Caenorhabditis elegans: one gene and its partner. The protein of the gene in region 2 interacts with the protein of the main gene of each other region in a pairwise test. Each region holds a gene or a part of one and is shown on either strand. Other genes may lie near its edges.

Evidence for each region. Proteins that work in one complex are often made in the same cells at the same time.
Region 1: the proteins of R07B7.2 (region 2) and htp-1 interact in a two-hybrid assay, tested with the Caenorhabditis elegans proteins (2 studies listed by BioGRID).

What each region holds. Positions count from the first base shown.
Region 1 is NC_003282.8:5,389,457-5,393,200, forward strand, and holds htp-1 (HORMA domain-containing protein), read right to left. Parts: upstream 2,102-3,744; coding exon 2,036-2,101; intron 1,990-2,035; coding exon 1,842-1,989; intron 1,796-1,841; coding exon 1,062-1,795; intron 1,014-1,061; coding exon 903-1,013; 3' UTR 733-902; downstream 1-732. Other genes in the region: ZK616.5 (uncharacterized protein), read left to right, coding at 2,716-2,789, 2,835-2,897, 2,943-3,021, 3,069-3,134, 3,185-3,325, 3,372-3,445, 3,490-3,586.
Region 2 is NC_003283.11:12,055,763-12,061,657, forward strand, and holds R07B7.2 (PUM-HD domain-containing protein), read right to left. Parts: upstream 3,988-5,895; 5' UTR 3,986-3,987; coding exon 3,451-3,985; intron 3,306-3,450; coding exon 3,171-3,305; intron 3,105-3,170; coding exon 3,006-3,104; intron 2,958-3,005; coding exon 2,769-2,957; intron 2,346-2,768; coding exon 2,208-2,345; intron 2,139-2,207; coding exon 2,037-2,138; intron 1,987-2,036; coding exon 1,765-1,986; intron 1,724-1,764; coding exon 1,538-1,723; intron 1,385-1,537; coding exon 1,178-1,384; intron 1,121-1,177; coding exon 1,017-1,120; 3' UTR 800-1,016; downstream 1-799. Other genes in the region: F10C2.7 (Major facilitator superfamily (MFS) profile domain-containing protein), read left to right, coding at 300-558; clh-6 (Chloride channel protein), read right to left, coding at 4,741-4,839, 4,887-5,070, 5,178-5,450, 5,499-5,895.

The DNA.
Region 1 (3,744 bases), on a different chromosome or scaffold from region 2:
AATAAAAAATTGTATTTTTAATCTTTTTAATCAAAAATTGTATTCTTTAATCTTTAATCCTTTTAATCCCATGACCTGGTATTCTTGGCGAAAAAATTACAACATTTTGTGTCTGGGTAATATCCAGTCGTGAATTCGTGAATTAATTCGCCAAATCTGAAGACTCCACTTCAAAAGAACATTTTTCTCTCGATAGGTCTCGCCACGATCCATTTTGTTGGCGACAGGCGCGACTGCTCTTTCTTAAATGAAAATTGAGATATTTGTTCGCTAGAATGTGATTTTTTAACAGAACATACAAATATATGGTTTTCGTGGCGAGACCAATTTAAAGTAGCACGCGCCTTTAAAACGACTACAATCAACCTGAATACTACATAAAATTGTTTCAGACACTGCAATAAAAAAGCTTTTTCTGATAAATTTTGTGACGTCTGACATTGAAAAGTAGAATAAACTGTGTTTTTTTTCAAAACTTGAAACCAACAATCAACAATCGCCACGTTCCCTTGCAAACCACATAAATTTTAGCAAAGAACCTTGAGAAAAGTTATCGAGGTCAGCATGAATGGTGAATACAAAGAGAATTTCGAGATTTACCGAAAGATACTCGGAGCGGTATCCAGCAGAAGAAGAAAAGAGAGAATCCTTTTTAGATTGGTCAATTGTTGAAAAATTCTGAAATGCACTGGAGTATCTTGAAAATGGAGTCATGGGAAACATGCTATTTAATAACACCAGTCGATTTATTTATGAATGACTGTAATTTGAATAAAAAAAACTAAGGATACAATAATGGAGCAGAAAGGAAACACTCAAGACAATAAAACATTTTACACGATGATATAGAACATGCCAAGTTACAGAATGAAGCTATAATCTATTGAAAGCTAGGAAAAAAATTATTTACAGGAACGAGAATATGGAGACGATCTGGTTTTGCTGCCATCGGCTCCTCTGCGAGTAGTTGGTCTCGTCTGGATAGGCGACATTTGTGCTTTCTCGAGAGACTCCTACAATTTTAAATTTTTTGTTTATATGTAAAAAACTAATAAACTAACAGTTATATCATCCACCGGAGAAGTCTCGTTTCCTCCTTGATCGTTGACAGATTCAGTAGTGGCCTGACTAAGACTTGTGTCACTGTCCTCCGAATTAAACGATTTATACAGCACATTCACTGGATTGAATCCATGCCTATCGGAAACTTTGTCCAGGTGTCGCTTGAGAGTCAACTCTGCTTCGTATGAATCGGACATCAACATGCTCCAGCATTCCATGTTTGCAGCGTGGCATCCTGGGCGCAAGTGACCAATGGTTGCCGATTGGATATCATCAGGAAGTGTGTAAAAAGTGGAAGAATCTTCGAAGCCATCAATGCGGAAATTGGATGGAGCATCGTTTGTGTACTCCAATCGAAAATTAGCCGTGAATTCTTCTGGCAACGGTTCGAGAACTTTTGTGCAGAGGAACTGAACACTGCGAACAATCGTCACCATTTGATCTCGTACGCTGTCGCCACCCTCGTATACAAGTTGAGCAAGCTTTGCGAAGTGAGGATCTTCCTGGCCATTCTTGTCAGTGCTCAGACGAGCAACCACGCCGCCATTCTCAAAATAAATGAACTTCATAGAGAAAACTTCGATGGCTTCAAGATCTCCTTCATTATTTGTGATCACGAGGGAGACTTCTTTCAGAAACCCATCCTTTGTTGCATCCCCAGCATTTCGAAGTAGTTGAGCGATTTGGTTAGACCGTGGGTTTCTGAAGCACAGCGTCATGCATTTCAGCTTTTCTGAAAAAGAACATTTACTATAAAATGTGATAAGAAAAACATTTACCAGTGATGTAATTCTTCGTGAAATATTCTTGTCCAAGAATGTTACGGTTCCTAAGAACAGCCGAAAACGCGACGTAGATTGCTCTGGTCATGAAATTGGATGATCGATCCGGGTCGCTGACAATCCTTGGGAAAAGTTTGGACCATTTCTAAAGATGAAAAAAATTACAATGGCCATAAAACCATGAAAAAAACCTTATCATCAATGGAATCCGCCGATTTGTTGAGCGATTCGTCGTAGATGGTTTCCAAGGGCGCCATCTGCAAAAAAACAGTCTCATTTTTAGGCAAGAGTTTGTAAATGTGAAATATAATATAATTCCTCGAGGAATACTATGCAAAGAAAGAAAAAACCCAATGACAAGCTTAAAATGATACACTAAAAAACGAAAAATTATTTTCGAAACTAGGAAACGATATTTGAATTTTAAAAAACACAGAAAATCGTCAATTTCGAAAGCCTAGGAAAGAATTTTAGGATTTCAAAAATGCAAATAAAATGCTAAATTAAAGGTACATCGGATTGGGTAAGTCCATTGGTCTCGCCACGCAATTACAAAAGCTCAAAACTATTCAAATAATTTTTGACTAAATGCAGCTTTTCCTTTTATTTTAAAGTAAATTTTTCATTCATTTCAAAACTGTCAACAAATTTGATTACTAGAGGTAATTTTAAAAAGTACTATTCTTTAAAAATACGCAAATGCAAGTGAAATTCGCTAACTCGTGGTGAGGCCTAAATTTAGTTTACTGACTGCTCCTTTGATTACTGTAACTTGTTTGCTATTTTTAAAACGGTCTGAATTCTCATTTTTGGACGAGTTTGCCTAAATTTTCTCCTTTCAAGCTCAAAAAACGTTTATCATTGTTTTCAGATGCCAAACTATCGAGGACGTCATCAAACGAGACAGAATTGGAGTTCTAAGCCAAGAGAAGAGCACTCCCCGAGGTATTTGAATAAAAAATGTCATTTTTTCGAGTACTTTCTTTTCAGCAAAGGCGCATACAGGGACAAAATCTGGAGCGGTCCAGTCAGTGAGGTCGCCAGGCAACAAACGTATGAAACTAATTTTTAAATGTTCCTAATTTACTTATTCTTCAGGGTGTACGACTGGGTGACTACAGGTGCTTATTCCCTTGGATCGCCAGACTCGTGGCCATCTTATCCGGACGAAATCATAGTGAGTGCTGTAGTACACCGAAAAAAAGTTAATTTTTCTTGTTTTAGCTGATGAACGAGTCCCGAAATGCTCAGACATCCCGCATGTCGCGTCGGTCGGCTACTCCCGGTCCAGTGAGTTTATTTTCTTCATATTTTCGTTATGAGACAAACCTTGGTTTCAGAGATTGTCACAAGATAGAAGGACAAGAACTACAGCACCCGCCGTTGCGCCGATTCCGTTTCAGAGGGCACAGCCTCGAGTAGAAGTGGAGAGACAAAGAATCGACGAGCCTGTCGCACAGGACCTGATTATCGATGATGGGGTACCAGAAAGTTTCATTGAACATTAGCTGTAATGTATTTTTGTAGAACGGTACCAACAATTCGAACGATTCGAGTATTTGTGGCTTTGTGGAGGAATCCGAGGAACTCGTATATCCACAGTGAGTATCTAAATCAATTAATTAACTGAAATTTATCATTCCAGGTGGGTTTACTATCTGTACCCATTGATTCCTACCGCGCCTAACTGCAACAACGAGAAGTCGTACAAAGAAGGTGGCAATTGGTACAACTCTCCATGAATGATCTCCCTCTCCAGCTTCTCTCAATCTGTCATATTTCTTATGCCTGAGTTGCTCCTCATTTTAAGAATGTATCATTCTCATATTATCTGTCATATTCTCACTCCCATCATGCCCGTAATCAAACCCCCGTCATTCATTTTTCTCTGTACCGGTTA
Region 2 (5,895 bases):
CTGTAATCACTGCAAATGGATGACAGAATCTTTAGAAAATGCCAAATAACTTTTATTTGAATATAATAAGGGTTGAAACCTGTGAAATTGCTTTGGATTTTTTCAAAAGCTCTTTTTTATTTTGGTAATTTTCCAAAACTAGGAAATTTGGTAATTCTGAGTATTTTGAGTGCATTCAGACAAAATCCTAAGTGGTGATACTCCAACTGTGTCCAAATCCAAAAATTTAAACACTGAAAATTATGAATTCACTGTAAATTATTCTGAAAACCATGCAATTATCCATAAACAAATTTCAGTCAATATGCTCACTTTGTGCTTGCGATGATTCAATTTATGAAATGTATTGCCTTATTTGCTGCTCCAGCAACAGTTGCCATATTTGTATCAGATGAATCATCTCATACTCAATGGGGTCATGTATATATTCTCAATGGTTTACTTATGTTTATTGCCAATATTTTATTCTTTCCAATGGCAACTGATAAACCACAATCATTCACATTTGTCACACGAGAGACGATTGAAGAAGAGAAAAAGAAACATCAATTTGCTTGATTAATTCGAAAAAAGAATTAAATATTACGGTTATGTATATAGATTAATGTCGAAATTAAATTTATATTCCGAACATTTCACCCAATAAACAATTGTTCTTCGTTCAATTTACTTTCTGATTTCTAATACAAACGCAGCACCAGTAACCCAACACTTCCCCCATTCCCACTCAATGTCCCTTGAAGACGCTGAAACTTACATTCAATAATTCCACTGAACACCTAGACTACTTTGGACGACAGAGCTTGAAAAAAACTTTATTATGAGAAAAAAACTTAAAAAAAACAAGAGAAACCATAGAAAATGGAGAAGGAACATTAGGTTTCCAGACATCTGGCAATAAAAAGGGAAACATTAATGAGATTTGAGAAATCGCGTTTTTAAATCGGTGAAACAATGGGCAACGAATGATGAACAAAAAACAATAAAGTTTACTATTACCTATTCAAAAATTAAATCTACTTTTTACTGGGAGCCTTATAGAAGTCTTTTGACCACCTTTTTGCACGACGAGTATCGCCTCCTTGTTCGGCGTTCCATTCCGCTTCGTAGCGCGCTGGAGCTGAAAAACGTAGTTAATTTATAAAGGTTATTTACATAAATTCGAAATCAATAATACCTTTTCTTGTCCTCTTTGATGAAGTAGGTTCTTTATCAATTGTAGAAGAAGGAGTTTTTGAATTTTTCTTGGTCGTCTCATTCCTTGAATTTTTGCGAGATGAGCCCGGTGGAGATTGTGATGGTTCGAGTCGTGCTCTTTTCATACCGGTGGAAATGGCAACAGAAGATCCATATCTTGAGCGCGAGGTATGTGGAGATGTGTCATCTGAAAAATAGAAATAAAATAATATAGAAATAACTTGGCGCATCAGGACTGAGCGACAAACGACGAATTCCGTTCGCCGAAAAAGCCAGATCCCACACATCCCTGGTGTACATTGTGTAACCTATATTTAAACAACTGGTGTTCGATCCTCACCGGTTTCAGATGCGCTTGGCATTGGAGACTCGTTTCTATTTTCAGTTATAGAAATCGCTGATATTATGGATCCGAAATCTTCCACTGGTGTCTCATTTCGCACATCTTGATTATTGATTTCCTCTGTTTCTCGAGCAATCGAATTGACTCCAGATACAGCTTGGTTGACGGATCCAACATCTGTTACTGTTATATTATGTTATGTTATGTTAGGTCGTAATTTATACTTTTATTACCGATGATCGCATCGACAGTATTCTCGATTTCAAGATCAGCCTCAAGCCTTTCGGTTTCTTCGGGAACGATTTGGTTTTCATTAACATTGACTTCTGGCTGAGAAATCGGCGCTGCAGAAGGGATATCGGCAAATGAAGGATTTACATTCGCCGAATTTTGATTTTGTGCATTTTGATACATCATTGCATGATTCCGTTGTTGCTCCCACGCCGCTGAAATTGTAACATATACCTTTACTATAAGTTGCAGAAATTGAGCGAACCGTATTGAGAGTGTAGAAGCATCTGCTGCTGCATAAAAACATCATATGGCGGCATGAACGGAGATTCAAAAAAAGAAGATGGAGCCGCGGAGTTATTCATATCTAAAACGTGTAATTTCTCATAAGTAGTTTAATTGACTATAATTAGAGGTAGTCAAAATTTATACTCACGAGATGGCATCATTCCTGGATGCCAACTCATCATGCCAGCCGCAGGTTGACCGAATGGGCGAATGAAATGATTATTTTGCCAATCGGGTCCCTGTCCTCCCGAGGAATTCGGCATTGATGGAAACATCCCTCCGACCCCTGAAAATTAATTAATTACTATCATTTACTAATATATATATATATATAAAGCGCTTATTCCGTTTGTCCATAGTTTGTAGTCTATGTAGTCTTTGTAGTCTGCGAAATTTTAGCTTCTGGAGGGATAGTGAGTTGAGGTTAGTGTAAGGATATAGTCGGGTTACTGTAGTGGTACAATAGTGATACGGTAGGAGTACTGCATGATTACGGTAGTTTCAGAAACATTAGTTTTTAGCTCCAAGAGGTCGGGAGCCGCGCCGGAGGTGCGGTCCACGGCTGGTCAATTCATAAAATTATTGAATTCACTGATTTCTGGTGGCAGTGGAAGACAAATTTTGAATTTCTTCATTGTCTGTTAGAATAAGTTTAGCCGAACACGAAACTGAACAGAGCCAAGTGCATTTTTAATATAAAATATTTCACCTCCAAACAAATTTCTAGCATTATGTGGTTGCTGAGCCCCTCGCATGTCTTCAGCCTGATTTCCTTCTTCTTGGGGAACAGGAAATTGGGACCGTTGTTGCTGTGAAGACATACTTCCGAGCAAGCCAGATGATGAACGAGCAAAATGCGAAGATCCATCATGTCGAGTTGGGAATGATGAGCATCGCTCTGAAGTTACTTTTTTAAACGAGAAGCAAAGTTGATGGTCTGACTTACGAGAATTGATCATTTCAGGGAAATGACTTTCCATTGTTTCTTGACTTGCTGGTGGATTAACCTGTGAATGAATTGACTGCATGCTGTTTGAGTTTGTTTCTGTAAATTACTACTCTCAAAATAATTGATTTATTTTATATTAGTAAGCTCTATTGCCAATTATACCTTCTCTCTGTTCCGTTTGATGAAGTCTCGAATGGAAAAACGATTGAGAATCGGCATCATTGAGACTGGTCTCATTAATTCCAATTTGTTGCGAAGCTTGTGGCATTTCAGTTTGTTCGAGATCCTCTTGACGAGCTTAAATTTAATTTTATGATGAGTATTAGAAATATTTTCAATATTTTGCGGACATATACAAGAGATGTTCCTATTTTCAATGTATGCACCTGAGCGTAGGACGAATTAAAATATGGGAAAAAGTTCGAATATTAAAGTGGGTTACCTTCAGAATTTTGCAACGGATGACTCGGCGGCACAGGCGCGGATTGCTGATCTGGTGGAGGAAGCAACTGGAGTTGTTCAGGTTGCTGGAGATAAATTGGAAATGCTGTCCGAGCTTTGATGGGCCGGCGAGCTTGAAGATGTTCCAAAAGTGAATTTGCCAATTTTTCGATTAAACAAGATTCTGAATTTGTACCGGCGATATTGGTTGCATGACAAGTTTGTGTTGTTCTGTTCGCCGTTGAACAAATGGCTTCCACCTCCTTATCCTTTGTTTGAACCTCGTATTGGCTTGAAGTTTCCACAGCCGTGATAATTTCTGATTGGACATATTGATCTCTTGTTGGAGCGTGATGTTGGCTCCAGGCATCAGCAACGTCGACTTCAGATTGTACTCCTTGATCTTTTGCGAACGTACTTTGATTTGCATAAATATCGGAAAGTGAGGAAAAAGGCACACGTGTTGATCCAAACAAGTTCCCAAAACTGCGACGTCGTCCAGTTTGTTCTGTGTTATCACCGTCAGAAGCACTCATCTGAAGCGTTATAATGATTATTAATTTATTAAAAATCAAATGAGGGTTTGTGAAATGGTTTCATACAAAATTCCAAACAAAAATGTTCCTAAAAACTAATTTAGAAAATAATTTTCGTTTGGCGAATTATTTACAACGGATATGACGCAACTCTGCGTACTTTTACCTCGGCTACAGTAACCCATTTCGTTTTTCAAAACATATTTAAATACACAAAAGTCCTGGTCTGTTTTCCTGCATTAGTTCGCATCATAATTTAGGTATTGTAGAGTTTACGAATGCGATCTTTGGCTCAATAATACCTAAATTTTGAAAAAAGTTTACTTTCAACCCTTTTTAAAAATTATATTGTGTTTCTGTACATCCTAATTACCGATGCTCCTTTATAAAATTATAATTGTCTATAAAATCATAATGGTATTATTTCACGCCTTCTAGAGAGTATAATTAATGAAATTAAATACCGGAAAACACATTAGACAAACGTACCGATTAAGATTTATCACAGAATAAAATTGTTAAGAAAGTGTCTATGACATGAACAGAAAATTTCAAAATAAGTTCACATTTTGCAACGTAGTGTTGCGATTTATTTTTTCAAACGAAATTTCAGTTTTTCAGTTTATTTCCCAAAAGAGACCAAACGACATCTTGCTAAACGCAAACATATTTTTTAAACTCTCTGTGCATTTCCATGACTTAAAAAACACGTTTTCAAAATGGCAATGGTAGAACATGAAAGAGAATAAGAACATTTAAGATTCAGAAATATAAAGTTCATCAACATGATACTCGCGGTTTCGGCGTCTTTCACGGAATCTGGCAACATCTTTTCTAGTAATCACACCACGAAGCTGAAAAACAATACTAAAAAATAAATTTGGATAATGTTCGTCCTCACATGATTATCATCGTTCACCACAAAAAGGTATCGAAGTCCAAGTCCACGGAAAAGTCGGAAAATGAATGGAAGAGATGTGTTCAGTGGAACACGGTGCGGATGAGGATGCATGTAGGGCTCAATGTCCAGGAAACATGACTCGTCGAAATTTGTTAATCCGAGTTCAGCAACAGATTTCATTTGGCTGAAAATAAAATATATAACAATTGAATTATAATATTTTCGTAGTATGTTGAATACCAAACAATTTCTGTTTTAAAATTCGTATTTTATTCAATATAAATCACTTACTCGTCGTCATCCTGGCATTCATAAAAATCATTTGGAAGTGCAGAGTTTGAAGCTCCTTCTTCCTCGAAAATTCGATTTTCCAGAAGTTTGAACAGTTGTGATCGCAGAATATAACCTTTCAGGCGTCCATAATCAGGGAGTGATTCGTATGGCGATTCTTCGATTCTATCTACTACTGGAAAGCCATGATGAAGTGTGGAACGAAGAATTTCAACGATTCTGGATACTCTTTCTCGCCGTTCTAGAGCCACAACATCTTTTCGCATCACGCGGCTGAAAATTAAAAAAAGATTTTCGAATTGTTACAACAAAAAAACCAACTCTGCCAAAATGTTTCTGCTCATCTTTGGTGGATTCCAACCAAGAATTGGAACTTCTGCTAAATCAATATGAGCATCATAAAGTCCTTCATTGAACATATCTCCAACCCATTTTGTTACCATCAACACCAACATAATAGGTAATCCAAATGTAATATCTTTAGTTGCTTCCATTATAATAGCTGTTAATGAAATTGTCATTCGAACAACGCCTCCGAGTTGTGCGGCAGCTCCTGCCAATGCGTATTTTCCTGGATCAATTCCAGTAACCGAAGGGAAAAGTCGTTCAACAAAAATTCCAAACAGGCGGCCCCATGCTGCACCAGTAAGAATAGCTGGAATGAAGACACCAGAAGGTACAGAGATTCCGAACGTCCAGAGAGTGAGCAAGAAATATT